Struthio camelus: one gene and its partner. The protein of the gene in region 2 purifies or fractionates together with the protein of the main gene of each other region. This does not show direct contact. Links are inferred from orthologs where the notes say so. Each region holds a gene or a part of one and is shown on either strand. Other genes may lie near its edges. The genes, in order: RNF114 and DTX3.

Region 1 (7,913 bases), on a different chromosome or scaffold from region 2:
ACTTCTCTTACAAATGTTACAAATGCCATTTATCAGTTTGCTTTCTTATATATATATTTTTTAAAAAGGCACAGTCACACACCCAACACGCTACAATGCGGCTCACTGCAACTTCCCTTCATTGTAAGTTACTACAATCAAGAGACAGAAAGACAAAACTATTACTTAACACCTCTCCCACCCCCCTTTAACTAAGTACCCTGATCTTGCACTAAAACATCCATGGATAACATCACAAATTAGAACAGCTTGCCTGTGCATAGTCTGTTGTTAGGTTGAAGGCTTAGTTTAACAATATGAGAGGATTAAAAGAATTAACACCCAAACTGAGTGAAGAGGTAAAGTCTGCTTTTACTCCAGTATTCTACAGTTTGCATGACACATCATAACACAGTCAACTTTTGTTTAAACAAGATAAAAGGACTGTTCTCAGAGCAAGAATCAATTTTTAAGTTTCATAATGATTAAATATTTACAGCCCAGTTTGTGGTATCAAAAAATAGCACGTCAAGAGAAGAGCTAGTTACCTGGTGTTGTTAAGGGGTTCTTTAGTTACAGCTTTTACACCTTCCATTATATAATTCTGGTACTTTGAACAAGAAGCTGCATGGCTACGCATCTTTGAGAGATACATCTGGAGAGACAACAATTAAACAGCAAACTCAGTTTAAACTACTTGCAGTCACTTTCACTTTCAGGCTTTTAGGCAGAAGAAGTAAACGATACGCAAAAGAAATAGGCTTTCTATAGAAAATGCTGAAACAGAAAAACAATTAGGCTGATGAGACAGAAAACTGTCAAGACTACGTACTAGTTAACCAGTAACTTTGTTGCCTGTAATATGTTACCAATACCATGCTGTTCAGGACAGCTCACTTTTCCTAAGATGTAATATAAAAGTTTCATATAAAGCCAGTTTATCTGGTTGCTCAGGAGAAGAGCCAATACGGGTAATAGCTTCGCTTTTTGTAATTGATCTACACCAAGATCTGTACTGCAGAACGTTGTCAGATACGCAGCACGTACAACGAAGGAACGGAGACGAACCTGACTTCACAATTTCTACTTGCAAAAGCCTGAAGGTTTTTTTCTTTGCAAAAATCCATTTTATGCTTGAAGTCTGGCTAACAATCGATTTCAAACATGCTTTAAATTAGATCCGAATCTTAATAACCCTATCCAAGCTAGAAAGAACAGTGTTTTTAGGAGGAGTAAGAGGTACAAAAATAGGCAATAACTCAGGAGGATTAGATACTGATTAGCAGTAGATGCGAGATAAAGATATAGCTAATGTATCAGCCTCCATCAAAAACCAAGTGCAAGTCTGACAATCGTGTTTCAAGCATTATCCCACTAATGAAAACTGAAATTTCCTGTAAGGAAATCTACAAGTCAAGGGACTGCAATTTTATATCAGCCAGAATAAAAAAGGTGATACTACTCAGAAATCAAAAGTGAAACTAACAGAACAGATACTCTCACCTTGTTTATGAGAAATATATAACAGCAGTAGTGCAGGAGATGAGGAACTTTGTTTTTTTAATAAAAAGAGAGCTGTAAAAGTTCAGTTAGCATAATGACATTCTTTAATGAGTTTTAAATTAAAGATTTTAGCTTTACAAGTGAACCAATTAATCTGAGGATTAGATACAGGACCATATGAACTACAAAGCTGCAGTTTTGGTGTAATATGCATCTAATTAACCTTTTCTCGCTGTCTTTCCATCTGTCAAGATATTTTCCCGTATATTGGGACAATGCTAAGAAGCCCAAACTTACAAAGAGGAAGTAAATGATAAGAGGGTGTCCTCTAAGTGTTTCATATGCAGGATTTTACCAAACAGTAAAATATATGGAATATACTGCTCATATAGGACAGCTTTGTCTCATAACTATTTCTGAGGAAGCAAACAAAGTTCTTCTGTTTAAAAGCCTAGGCTCTCAGTGTTTAAAACCACATTCACCATTTCCTTACAGCGTTACACCCACAGACATCCTCGTAGCAATATTTTATTATTATTTTTAAACCAACACAGCATCTCACACTCAGAATTCACTTCCTAGGGAGGTAACAATAAAGACTGTGGAAAAACGTCAACATTTAGGAACGACTTACAAAAAAAAAGTGCCTGTAGTACTTAAAACAAGCATTTGACCTGTTGTTGCAGAAAGCTGAAGAGCAAATACTTTACTTCCCTCTAAGCTGTAGGACTGAACAGGAACACTTCAGGCACTTGGTTTTCAAACGCTTTCCTACCTTTTTATTGCAGCCATTGCAAGTGGTTTCCGTCATTTCAATTTGCTTCTCCAGGTCCAGAGCTCTGCTACCAGGAGACAGGGTACTGCGGCAGACGCCGCAAACAGGCTTTTTCGGCTTGAGACATTCCTGCAGGCACGGAGTGCAAAAGCTAGCATGGGAGAAAAACAGCAAGCGGTGAGAAGGACGCTCCTTACAACTCGATTAAAACACTCAGAGACCTGCCATGCCCCCTGTTATTAGCGATAAAGGAGTCACAAGAAGCGACAGCGGCCGGCTGACATTTGTGCCGTGTGACGGGAGGTGCAGTCTGGGCCATCACAGTCGGAATTATCAGATTTTCGACAAATCTCTATCTCCACCAGCTTTCACAGGTGGGGGGAAGCTACCGAACGCACCGCGCCGCTGTTTTTGTGTCAAGCGAGGCTCACGGCGCCCCTACAACGGGCTAAAGCGCGCAGCTGCCTGCAGACCCCCGTCCCCTCGGGCAAGGCCGCTTCACCGACCTCCCCCTACGGGAGCCGGGCCCGCCCGAGCCCGGCCCGGGGCCGCCCCCGCCGCGGCCTCTGCGCCCGCCCGCCGCCTCGCGGCCCGCTCACGGCACCCGGTCGAGGAAGGGGCCCGCGGGCCCGGAGCCGCCCCCGAGGCCCCCACGCCGCGCCGCGCCGCGCCGCCGGCAGCCGCTCACACATGTCCGCAGGGCACGCGCACCGGGCTCTCGTACACCTCCAGGCACACAGGGCAGGTGAAGCGCGACAGCGGGTCGTGCCGCCGCGCCGCTGCCGCCACTGCCCGCTCCGGAGAGCGCGAAGCACCACCTCCACCGGCCACCGCCATCTTGCGGCGGCCCCACCGCCCCCTCGGACCTCCGCCTCCGCGCGGGCCCCGCCCCGAACCCCCAGCCAATCGCGAAGCCGCCCGCGCGCAGCCGCAGCACAGATCCCGGCGCCGGGGCGAGCACGGCGAGGAGACTCCCGCCCCGCGGGGGCGGGCGAGGCCCGGCGCAGGGGGCGTGGCCCGAGGTTGGGGGCGTGCCCAGGGGCCGGAGGGGCGTGCCCAGGGGCCGGGGGCGTGGCCGGGGCGCCCCGGGGCAGGGCCGCCAGTGGCGCGGGGCAGCCGGTGGCGGCGCGGGCAGCAGGGCGAGCGCCGCCGGGGGCCGCCCGCCTCGCCCGGGCCTGCGGAGCGGCCGCGGCCCGGGGTGAGGCAGGAGGCGGCGGTTCTGCCTGGCGGAAGAGAAAAGGAGCGTTTTTACCAACAGCTAGAGCAAGGCCGCGTGAAAAATTGTAGATGGCGCGGGCTGTTCCCCCCCCCCCCCGCCCCCGGCCTCAAGGCCGCCGCCGTCCGCGTTTAATTGGTGCCGCTGTTGGTTGCCGGCGGTTTTCGGCATCTTGCGGTCGGGGAGCGTCGTGCCGTTTCCCCCTTGCTCTCGCGGTCCGGCTGCGCCGGCTGGGGCGCGCCGAGCTGGTAACGGGAGGACAACGCAGCTCCTGTCGGCGGTGGGCAAGCCAGGGCACCGCAGAAGCTGTTTATAAAACGATAAAGGCGTCACGATCCCTTCTGTTAGGGTCGTGGCATAAACGCCTCGTGCCGAGGTTGAACGGACGCGTAATTCCCTGCAGCGGCTGCTTTTCTCCTTCCCTCGCGGCTGTGACCACCTGGCGGGGGAGCCGAGGGGCGGATCCGCCGCCGCCTTCAGGCCTTTATTCCCCGTGTCCCCCCGACGCTGGGTGCGCGGGCGGCCGCGGCACCAGCCGCTCTCGTTCCACGCGCGAGCGCGCCAAACGCCCCCCGGCTCCTAAAACACAAGGGGCGAAGGGCGCCGAGCGCGGCCCTCCCGCGCCGGCCTGGCCCCGAGCGGCTGGTCCCCGAAACGCCCTGCTCTGACCCCCCTGCCGCCCCCGCCTAGGCTGCTCCCCAGCCCGGGGGGCCCTGGGGGGGTCCCACAGCCCGGGGGGGCACAACCCGGCTGTCCCCTCGGTCCGGGGGGTCCTGGGGGGGGTCCCACAGCCCGGGGGGGCACAGCCCGGCCGTCCCCTGGGTCCGGGGGGTCCTGGGGGGGGTCCCACAGCCCGGGGGGGCACAGCCCGGCCGTCCCCTGGGTCCGGGGGGTCCTGGGGGGGTCCCACAGCCCGGGGGGGCGCAGCCCGGCCGTCCCCTGGGTCCGGGGGGTCCTGGGGGGGGTCCCACAGCCTGGGGGGGGCACAGCCCGGCCGTCCCCTGGGTCCGGGGGGTCCTGGGGGGGGTCCCACAGCCTGGGGGGGGCACAGCCCGGCCGTCCCCTGGGTCCGGGGGGGCTCTGGGGGGGTCCCACAGCCTGGGGGGGCACAGCCCGGCCATCCCCTGGGTCCGGGGGGTCCTGGGGGGGTCCCACAGCCCGGGGGGCCACAGCCCGGCCGTCCCCTGGGTCCGGGGGGGCTCTAGGGGGGGGTCCCACAGCCTGGGGAGGCACAGCCCGGCCGTCCCCTGGGTCCGGGGGGTCCTGGGGGGGGGTCCCACAGCCTGGGGGGGGCACAGCCCGGCCGTCCCCTGGGTCCGGGGGGGCTCTAGGGGGGTCCCACAGCCTGGGGAGGCACAGCCCGGCCGTCCCCTGGGTCCGGGGGGGCTCTAGGGGGGGGTCCCACAGCCTGGGGAGGCACAGCCCGGCCGTCCCCTGGGTCCGGGGGGTCCTGGGGGGGGTCCCACAGCCCGGGGGGGCACAGCCCGGCCGTCCCCTGGGTCCGGGGGGCGGACACGGGGGTCCCTCCGCCCGGAGCCCCTCGGCCGGGGGAGTCCGACACCCCGAGCCCCCTCCCCCCCGCCGCCCGCACCGCCCGCTGACGTCACACCGCGGACCCCCCCCCCCACCGCCGCAGGGGGAGGCGCCGCTTCCCCCTCTCCCCCCACCCCCCGCCCGCCGCCATCCACTTCCGGGGTGCCGCCGTCGCCCTCCGCGCTCGCCACCGGGAGCGCCCGCGTGGTCGGCGACGGGAGGACAAGCGGCGAGGAGGGGGTGAGCGGGGCGGGGGGCGCAGCGCGGCCTTGGGGGGGGGGGGCGGAGTCTACATCCGGGTCACCGGGCGCTTCCTGCCGGCGGGCCGGGGCGGCGGCGGTGAGTGCGGGCCGGGGCGGCGGCGGCCCCCGAGGGGCGGCGGCGGCTCGGTGCCGCAGCGGGGCCGCTCCGCGGTCGCTGCCGGCTCCGGGGCCTCGGCGTTTGGCTGCCCGAGCTTCCCCCGCGCTGCGCGCCGGCTGAGAGGGCCGAGGCTCGGCGCGGGGGCGGCCGCGGGCCGGCCGCTCTCCGGCCTCCTCCGCTGGGCGCGCCTTGGGCCCGGCTTCCCGTCGGTAAGGCGGCGCGGCGCTGCCCGTCCCGGCGGCGGGCCCGTCTCTCCCTCGGCGCTGTGTGCCCCTGCGCCCCGGGGGCCGCCGCGAGGCCGGTCCGCTGCTGGCGGCGCCGCAGCTCTGCGGAGGTTCGTGGCTTCCTGGCGCTCGTCGTGTTCCGTTTCGCAGCCGCCTGAGCTCCGGCCTGCGCGCCAACGGCGGGTCGCGACCGGAGCTGCCAGCGGCTTTGAATGTCACGGGGCGTGAGGCCTTGATGAAGGGCTTTCTCTTCCTTCGGGGACTTTCCCGAGCGTGGCGTCTTGTACGTCTGAGCTGTTTCGTTAAGCAGCTGTCGACGTTACAGGTGGAGGAGCTGCTCCTTAATCCAACTCCTTACCGACGCAAGATCATCCCTTGTCCTAAGGCTGTGCTATTGGCGTGCCAAGCGAAGAGCTCTGTCTGCGCTTCTCTCGTACAGCCTAGCTACAGCTGTTCTCGCTAAGTTACAGAAATTGTGTTGTTTTTGTCCACAGACTTCGTCTGACACAAATTAAGAGGGAAAAATCCTGGAGGGAGGGAGAGAAGTGAGCGCTTTGTGGAAAGGACTGAATTACATTCTTACTTCTGCCCCTTGTGTTAAGATGTTAATTTAGAACCCCGTGTGTCCTGTGATTCACAGCTTCTCTCCCGACATCAGTGCGTTTCTGCTTGTGCAAAGACCAAGAGCAGTATGCCTCTGAGCAGAAATTGAGCTGCTGGTTAACTTTTCCCACACGATGCTACTGTTAGGCACATCCTCTCATCAAGCAAGATTAGTTGCTAGGCTGTTGGGCCTTCTTGTTTCTACCCTTTTTTCCTTTTTTTTTTTTGTCATGTATTTGTGTTATGGCTCCTTTCATTCAGTTCATCTTGCACTTAGAGTGATTTTTTTCAATGTCCTCATAGGCTTCTGCTAAAATAATCAGCAGTCTTATGGCTGCTGAAATTAATATTGGGTGGGAAGTCTTTCTAAAATGCTGTTTCAGACTGACTATAACTGATACAATGGATTGTGTGGGGTTTTTTCTTCTTTTTTTGTTTAGAGCTAGGAAGCGTATAAGGACTAGGATTGTGCTGTCTTTTAAATAAAAATAGCAGTACAAAAAAAATAAAGCCTGTGATCTGCTTTCTGATCACAATTTCTTCAGGAAATTTAGATGGAGTCTGTTGACCTGTTAGTTACCTTGGCTTTGGTAAAGTAATGTTAGGAAGCTTATTTTCTTACCAGCTTTTTCTGTGTGGGAGATAAGAACTCAATGAGATGAAAAAGCATAGTCAGTAATACGTAAAAGCAACCAGCCCTGCAAACAAAATGACATAAACACAGAAATGATTTTGCTCTGTTCTAATAAAGCAGTTAAAATTGGTAGCTGTAGCTTTCCATCGAAAAGGTTACAATGCTACTACTAGCATTTGGCTAAAGCTTTGGCTGTACTTTGCAGTGTTCGGGGGCACATGTGCTCTCTAGGGGGTGGCTGCAGCGTACTGCCGGCACCACGATGGCCGGGGTGTGCCGTTGGATAGAATGAGTGGTGTTCAAAAGCCTAGAAAATGTTAGAAGTAGAAAGGCTAAGTGTATTAATCTGCTCAATTCTATGGGCCGAGCCTATGCCACTAGCAAAAAGAGAAGTATATGCTTTCCTAATCTGAGCAAAAAGAAACTTCTTTTTGGGATTTTGTACCTTTATATCTCTGTGCAGGGCAAACGAAATAAAACAGTGACCAATTCTCGTCATGTTTGTACGATTTGTTTGAATCGAAAAGGCGCGATAAAAGAAAAAGAGAAGACGCCCTAAAAACCCCTGCTTTTGTCTTTCGGTCTTATGTTGTGAGTTACCTTCGCTGTTGTTCTCTTAGCCAAGGAATCCTCAATCTGGACTTGAATTTCCACCAATTTTCTGGTATCACACTCTTGGTGCCTTGCCCCATTTAGCTTTCTGGTGCTCTGTTTTAGACAGTTAACTGGGGAAAGGAGTAGAGAATAGCAGTGAAAAGGAGGACACCAACATTTCTGTAGGCTCCTGTGCTTTTTCAGAACCCTAAAGAGTCTGTTCTGGGAGCCCCTGCACTGTGAATGATTTTATAGAACCCTGTGAGGCAAATAGATGCTATCGACATCTGTGATGACTTGTCTTTTTCAATTTTTATTCCAGAAGAGTTGCCATTACTGAAGATTCTTAATGCCAGATAATCAACCTACTGTGGAATAACCATGAAAGAGATGAGGTAGCTGCCGAAGTGTGAGACAAAATCTGATTTCAATGGATACAAAATATAAAGACGATTTATTTAGGAAGTATGTACAGTTCCACGAATGCAAACT
Region 2 (7,306 bases):
ACAGCCCCAGCACCTTGTTGCCCTCGGGGCAGTCGGGCAGGTAGGCCACCCGCGTGGTGCCCGGGTACCGCACGCCCGGGTTGGGGTGCTCCACCTGCGAGGCGTCGGGCCGACACGGGGCGTCAGGCGCGGGGGTGCCCCCAGGGGGGCACCCAGAGGGATTGGGGTTACACCCAAGGGTGCTTGGCCAGGCTGGGCTTAGCTCCGTGGCACCAGAGCAGGGTCGGGGACACCCCCCAAAGTCGCAGCGTGACCAAAGGTGAACATCTGGCGTCAGGGGCACCCAGATGGGTTGGCGTAGCTGGGTGCCAGGGCACGCAGCCGCTTTTGGGGACGCACAACCAGACTAGGGTGCCCAAGCGGCAGCGGTGCAGAACCAGGTGGAGGTGCCCAGCAAGCTTTGGGGATGCCCAGTAGCACCACGGCCACAGAACAGGACAGGTGACACCCTACCAACTTGGGATGCCCCCATTGCTGGGGGCACAGGGGACACCTCGCCAGCCCGGGGTGCCCGGTGCCCAGCCGACGCGGGGTGAGGGGGCACGCGCTGTCTTACCCCTTGGACGCCGGGTGGGAAGACGTACTGGATGATGATGGTGCCGAACTTCTCGTAGCCGGGGAGCAGGAGGCTGGAGTCCTTGGTGACCAGCATGCGCCCGTTCTGGGGCTGGTTGCCCACCAGCTGCCCGTAGAAGCGCCCGCACATGGGGCAAGCGGTCTTCACCTGGAGCGCCCGCGTGATGCAATCCTCGCAGAACGAGTGTCGGCACTTCTCCAGCGTCTTCATGTTCTGGATCTCGCCCAGGCAGATGGGACACTGCCGGTCGGGTTCCTCGTCCCGCGAGCACCCCGGCGCCCCGCCGGCGCGCCCCCCGCCGCCCGCCGGTCCCCGGGCCCCAAGCCCGGGCCCGCTCTTGTCCAGCAGGGCCACGCAGCCCACCACCTCCCCGTGGCGCTGGGCCTTCTTCAGCTCCTTCTCCGTCTCCTTGAGCAGGGCCTTGAGGGCCTTGCGGGCCAGGTAGAGGCCGTTGGCGGTGCCCGGGACGGGCGTGCAGAGCTGAAGCACGTAGATGTCGGAGGTCTCGCCGTCCACCAGGATGCTCACCTTGGTCTCCTCCTTGAGCCGGGCCAGCTTGGCCGGGCTCTCCTTGGTCAAGAAGTCCCACACCCGCTTGGACACCGTCAACTTGTTCTTAGTGGCCCCCCCGCACGCCGCCATCCTGGACAGGACAAACGACACTGGGGGGGGCCCAGGCCCATGGTGTCAGAGCCTGTCGGGCGTGGGGTTCACCGCGAGGTGCCACAGCCCCCTCCCGCACGATGTCCCCAGCCTGCTCCTTCCTTATGGTGTCCCTCCATAGGCCTCCTCCCAGACCGTGATGCTTCCTCAACAGGCACCGGGTGCCCCCAGCCCTGTGGTACCCCCCGCTGGACCCTCCCCAGGGGGGATGGGATGGGATGGGATGGGACATGTCCCAGGTGCCACCTAGGTGGCACCGAGGCCTCTCAAGGACCCGCAAGCTGAGGGGATGTCGCAGGAAGGGGCAGGGGGTTGGGGTCTGGGGGCACCCTCGTGCCCAGCCCGCAGGAGCACCCAGGAGTCCAGGTTCTTGCCCTGCCCAAGGTGGGGGGGGGGGTCCCAGGGCCCAAAGGGGGGGGCAGCAGCACCCACCTGGTGAGCCCATGGGGGACAGCACGAGCCCGAAACACCAGCAGAGCCGTGATCAGCGGAGCCACGAGCCACGGACTGGGAGGGACACAGGGTCACACTGTGCCCCCCTCCCCTGGATCTTGTCCCCAAGTCCCACCCCCCAGCATGTGGGCCCCCCGGAAGGGCTCGCTGCCCCCTCCCCCGAGGGGGGTATGGGGGACACTGCTCTGCCCCCCCAACTCCCAGCCCCACTGAACCCCCTAAAGAGAAAATATCCCCCCCCCAGGTGCTAATCCCCATCAGGAGACCCTACAACAACAACCACGGCAGCGTAATCCATCCTACGCCCCCCACCCCCGCGGTGTCCCCAGGAGACCCTACAACAACAAACAGCCCGAAACGCCGGGCCCAGCACAGCGCCACCCCCGGGAACAGAGGGGCTGGGGGGGCCAGGTACGGCCTCCTCGGTGCCCCCCGCTCTCCAGACCCCACTGCTCGATGGGGTGGGGGGGGCACCAAACCCCTGGAGGACCCCAGGATGGGGGGGGGGGAAAGGGGTTGTTCACCTGCCCCTATTCCCCCCCGCCCAGGGGCCCCACTGCTGGGGGGGGCCGTAGAGAGGCTGTAGCCCCCCCCCCCCAGTTATGGGGGTCACCCCCCAGCACTGCCAGGGGAGGTGGCATGCAGGGGACAGGGATCACCGGGGGGGGGGGACACAGCCAGGGGACAGGACAGGAGCCGGAGGGGGGGCAGGATGGGGAGAGATATGGGGGGGGGGACGGGATGGCGACAAGGGGGGTGAGATGGGGCCGAGCTGGGACAGGACAGGTCGGGGGGGGTGGGCAAGGGGGGGGTCAGGCTGGGCCAGGGGAAGGGAGGGGGAAGAGATGAGGAGGGACAGGATGGGGGGGCAGGACGGGGCCCCGGGGGAGGGGGGAAAGGAAGGGTATGAGGGGGAAGTAAATGGGGGGGGCAAGGTGAGGCCTTGGGGGGGGCAGGATGGGGGTGAGGGGGGCAAGATGGGGCGGGGGGGGAGGAATAAGATAGGGCCCGGAAATTAGGGGTGGGAGGGGGAGAAGCCAGGCCTAACCAAGCCCCGGGGAGGGGGTGTCATGCTGGGGGGGGGGGGGCCCGGCCGGACCCGGGGACAGCGACGACAACGACGCCGGTGGGGGGGGGGGGAGAGGCTGGGCCCGGCCCTACCCGTTACCGGGAAGGAAATGAAGCTGGGCCGGGCCCTGCCCGTTCCCGAGGGGAGGGAGGGAGGGGGGGGGCAGGACGGGGCCCCCCCCGCGGCGGACCCACCATAGCCGGGAGGCCGGAGCATGGCGGGGGCGGCGCGGCCCGGAGCGGTGCGGCGGCGGCGGCGGCTGGCGGCGGCCGGGAGGGGGGGGGTGGGGGGGGGGAAAGGGTTGGGGGGGGGGAGGCTCTTCGCGGAGCCGCCGCACATCACGTGGGCGCGCGGGGCGGGGCGCCGCCGCCATGGCAACGAGGGCGGGGCCCATGGCGACGGCGCTGGGCGGTGTGCGGGGGGGGGAGAAGGGGCGGGGCGCGGCCTGGTACCGGCGGACGCAGCGGGGCGGGACAGGTCCCGCTCGGCGCCCGTCGCCATGGCAACGGAGCATCATGGCAACGGGGGGGGGGGCACGGGTATCGGGGTCCCGGTAACCGGGCACGGAGGGGCGGGGGAGGGGAGCGAACTGGGAGTCCCGGTAATGGGGTGCAGCACGTTGGTAAGGTGGGGGGGGCTCAGTACCGAGATAGAGCCTGGCTGTTGGGGGGGGGGGTCCCAATAACAGGACACAGCCTGGGGAAGGGGGGGGGGTCCTGGTAACAGGACACAGCTGAGGGAAAGGGGGGGGGTTCCAGTAATGGGGGCAGAGCCAGAGAAAGGGGGGCATCCTCATAATGAGGAGGGGGTCCCAGTAACGGGACACAGCCTAGGGAAGGGGGGGGGTCCCGGTAACGGGGGCAGAGCCTGGAGAAGGAGGGGGGGGGGTCCCGGTAACAGGGGCAGAGCCTGGGCTGGTTCAATAATTTATTTCTTAGGATACAGTGCTGGAGAGCAGCCCCCCCCCCATTACCCCCCCAGCACGGCAGGGTCCCCCGTGCAGTGTGTGTGGTGTGGGGGGGGGGCAGGAACAGGTCCCAGGACCCCGCTGATAACGGGGGGGGGGGCAACCCCACACTGTGACCCCACTTGTAACAGGGAGAGGGCCATGCCTCCCCCAGCCCCACTCCTACTGGGGGCGGGGGGGCCCACAGGCTCGCCATCCTCCCCCCCCAGACCAGACCCATAATGGGGGAAGGGGGGGGCTACTCCCGGGACACCCCCAGGACTGTCAGTGAAACACAGGGACACCCCCCCCAAAGGAACAGCCCTTTTTGGGGGGGTGGAGGAACCTCCTACCCCCCCACAGGAGGAGACACCCCACTAGCCCCAGGGCAAGTAGTGTTCAATTGCCCCCCCCCCGAGCATGGGGGGAGGTAGAAGCAATGCAGCCCCATGTGTGGGGGGCAGCCCCCAGCTTATTGCATAGGGCAGGGCTGGACCCCCCCACCCCACCCCACGGTAAAATAAGGCACTTGAATAGCAGCCCCCCACCTCCACCGGGCACCAACGGTGGGGGGGAGGAGCTGCCCCGCTCGCAGGCGGGGTGGGGGGCACCGTGCCTGGGGCGAAGGTCGGGGGGGGGGCCAGCTCAGCCCCGGGCCCCCCCCCATCTACGCGAAGATGTTGGTGATGAAGTCGAGGAAGCGCTTGGCGTACTGTTCGGGATGCACCGTGGAGATCTCAGCCCCCGCCTGCGGGAGAGCACAGGATATTGGGGGGGGGGGGGGGTCAGACCCTGCCCCAAACCTCCCCAGACCCTCCAAGGGCCCCCCCCCCCCCAAAAAAAAAGGAGGCCATCCTCTTCCTCGGGCTCACCCCGTGCTTGACGGTCTTGGCAGCGTGGGCGGCCTTCTTGCGGGCGTCGTACTGCGTGAGGACGTCGATGAGCCCCATGAAGTACACCTCCTTGCGGGGGCCACCTGGGGTGGGAGGGGGAAGCAGGCGAGGAGAGGGGTGGGTGAGCCCCACACCCACCTCTTCGGCCTGCCCCCCCCCCCCCCCCAAGCACCCAATGCCCCGCTCACCCTCGGCGCTCCGGATAGCGTAGACGTCCACATAGGGGTCGAACTCGCCGGGGCCCAGCGGCCGGTGGGAGTTGAGGTAGCTGCCGATGCCCTCCGGGGAGGTGCCGTAGGAGCCCACGATGGCGGCCCCCGCCTCGTCGCCCCCGCCTTCCTCCTCTTCCACCTCCTCTTCCTCCTCCTGCTCTGCCCGCGCCACGTCGTGGATGCCCAGCAGCAGGCTGTAGTCCATGATCTTCAGCTGCACCAGGAACTGGCGACACGGGGGAGATCACAGGAAGGGACATGGAGAACCCCTGGCCGGCAGCCGGTTTTTGGGAGGGGGGTACCAACCCTCGTGACTGCCCTAGTGAGAGGTGGCCACCCCCTCCCCAAACACCCAGCCCCTGTCCGGGCACCACGGCTCTGGCCTGGAGCCCCCTCACCCACCTCCACATCTCTCTTGAGCTTCTCCATGAAGTCCTTCTTGTCCTCCTCGCCCACGTAGACCTTCTCGTTCTTGTTCAGGAAGTCCATGTCCTTCAGTGTGGGCAAGTCTTTGCCCTGTGGCGAGACGAACATGTGGGACGGGCCCCTGCGGTCCCACTATGGCTGTGGGGAGCCCCCTCCCCACTCCAAGAAACCAGTGGGGTCCTCCCCGCCCTGATGGGGGACCCTGGAGGCTCACGGATAACAGGGACTCCCTGGGGACGAGCGTGGTGGCACCTTGCCTCCACGGTTCCTCAGGAGGTTGCAGGGATCAGCTCTCCCTCCACAGCTGCAGCCTCATCGTTAAGTGGAGGCTGGGGACAGGCTGATAACGAGCCTGGGACTGCCCCGGTTCCCCCTCCCCAGGCTGGAGGCTCCCAGCACCATCCTGCCCACGTCACTGTGCCGTGGTACCTTCTCCTTGTCGCTGGCTTCACGGGACACAAGGGAGCCCTGGAGGAAAAGCAGAAGCTGTGTTAGGCTGGGGGGAAAAATCAGCGCTCCTGGCAGAGGGGACAAAGGAGGGGACAACAGAGTTGGTTAAATCCACCCAGGGATGGAGAGCATGGAGAAGCAGGAGGCATGGATGACCCAAGGACACGGGCTGATTTGGGGGCTCTGTCTCAGCTCCAAGCCTCTAGCAGCTTTAGGGGGGGCCCCCGTGGCAGGACAGCAAGGCTGGGGCGATGGGGTGGGCGCCCCGTTACCTTGAGGTCGTACTTCCTGTGCACGGAGAGCCGGTGGCTGAACATGTTCCTCATGACGAGCAGGTAGGTCTCCTCACTGTCCACGCTCACCCGGTACATGCCCAGGAACCGGGGCAGCAGCGTGGTCCCGTGACACTTCACGATGTACTGCGGGGAGACGTGGGTGCCATCAGGGCCCTCGGGTGACCCTGGCGTTCCTCGCTGCCCGGCCACCGCGCCCCCGTACCTGGTGGTAGTGGGACAGGAGGCTGTGGACGTCGGCCACGTCCTCGCTCGACAGCTCCTTCACCACCAACGTGCGGTCGTAGGACAGCAGGAACCGCCGGTCGCTGCCCTCAGAGTGGGGCGGGCTCCGCGTCAGCGAGACCTGGGCAGGACGGGCGTCAGGCAGGGCCGGGGCGACGCCGGCGCGGCCCCGAACGCCACCACCGCACCGTGGACCCACCTGGTAGTCCTGGTCGTCGATGCCGAAGCGCTCCCGGAGGTTGCGGAAGACCTGGGGACAGTACTCCTTGAACTTGAAATGACTGGGCAGGTTCTCCCTGCGGGTGGAGGTCACCAGCATGAGGACAAGGAGCTCCTCAGGGCAGCCGGGGGCTTCGTCCCCCCTTTCCGGAAGGTCTCCTGGCCCCGTTCGGGACCACCGCGGAGCTGCCACCCGGCCGTGCTCACCGGTTGAAGAGGTGGTTGTTGACTTTGATTTTGGAGCTGGCCTTAAAGTCGTCGGGCAGGAGCATGACGGGCAGCGGGACCTGGCTGAGCTCGCCGATCTGCGGGGCAGCGGGACGGGTGACGCCGGTCCCCCCCGCTGCGCAGGGCCACCCTCCGTGACCCCGCCGAGGAGCCCCCAGCAAGGACCCCAGTCCTCCCAGCGGGTGGGCACCGGCGCCCGCCGCATGGACGTGGCAAGCTGGGGCCGGGGGGCAGCTCGGGCAGGCGCTTGGATTAACGAGCGGGTTAATGAGTGGCGGCCGCAGGTGGCCGGGGGTTAGCGCCGTTACCGGGGGGCAGCAAGCGGCATGGTGGGGGGGGGGGGCACACGCCATGCGATGGGGCCCAGGGGCCACCCACCTCCTCCGGGGCTGTCCAGGGGGGCACTGCGTTGCCAGTCCGGGGGCTGCTACGGGGACAAATTGGGGGGGGGGATGGGGGGAGCCGTCAGTGCTGCTGGGGGGCACAGCCCCCCGGGGCAGCGTGAGGGGGCTTCCCACATCAGTGTCATCCCCCCAACTGGCAGGTGCTGGACCCCAGACCCCCAGGGGAGAAGGTCCCGGGGCCCCTACAGGGGATTGGGGGGTCCTATAGGAGGGTGTCTGGGGTCCCTACAGGGGATGGGGGTGGGGTC

What was found.
Region 1: the proteins of DTX3 (region 2) and RNF114 purify together in Homo sapiens (affinity purification with mass spectrometry; 3 studies listed by BioGRID and IntAct, counting the BioPlex papers as one, with this or other methods). This does not show direct contact. The link is inferred for Struthio camelus from reciprocal best matches to the Homo sapiens genes DTX3 and RNF114.

Annotation. Positions count from the first base shown.
Region 1 is NC_090959.1:9,898,384-9,906,296, reverse strand, and holds the start of RNF114 (E3 ubiquitin-protein ligase RNF114), read right to left. Parts: upstream 3,183-7,913; 5' UTR 3,095-3,182; coding exon 2,946-3,094; intron 2,409-2,945; coding exon 2,258-2,408; intron 635-2,257; coding exon 528-634; intron 1-527. Other genes in the region: SPATA2 (spermatogenesis-associated protein 2), read left to right, coding at 7,852-7,913. UniProt on the Homo sapiens protein: E3 ubiquitin-protein ligase that promotes the ubiquitination of various substrates. In turn, participates in the regulation of many biological processes including cell cycle, apoptosis, osteoclastogenesis as well as innate or adaptive immunity.
Region 2 is NC_090969.1:2,297,417-2,304,722, forward strand, and holds the start of DTX3 (probable E3 ubiquitin-protein ligase DTX3), read right to left. Parts: upstream 3,051-7,306; 5' UTR 2,957-3,050; intron 1,748-2,956; 5' UTR 1,686-1,747; coding exon 1,673-1,685; intron 1,240-1,672; coding exon 557-1,239; intron 95-556; coding exon 1-94. Other genes in the region: PIP4K2C (phosphatidylinositol 5-phosphate 4-kinase type-2 gamma), read right to left, coding at 4,376-4,456, 4,581-4,684, 4,790-5,039, 5,216-5,329, 5,669-5,707, 5,962-6,108, 6,188-6,328, 6,407-6,503 and 1 more. UniProt on the Homo sapiens protein: Regulator of Notch signaling, a signaling pathway involved in cell-cell communications that regulates a broad spectrum of cell-fate determinations.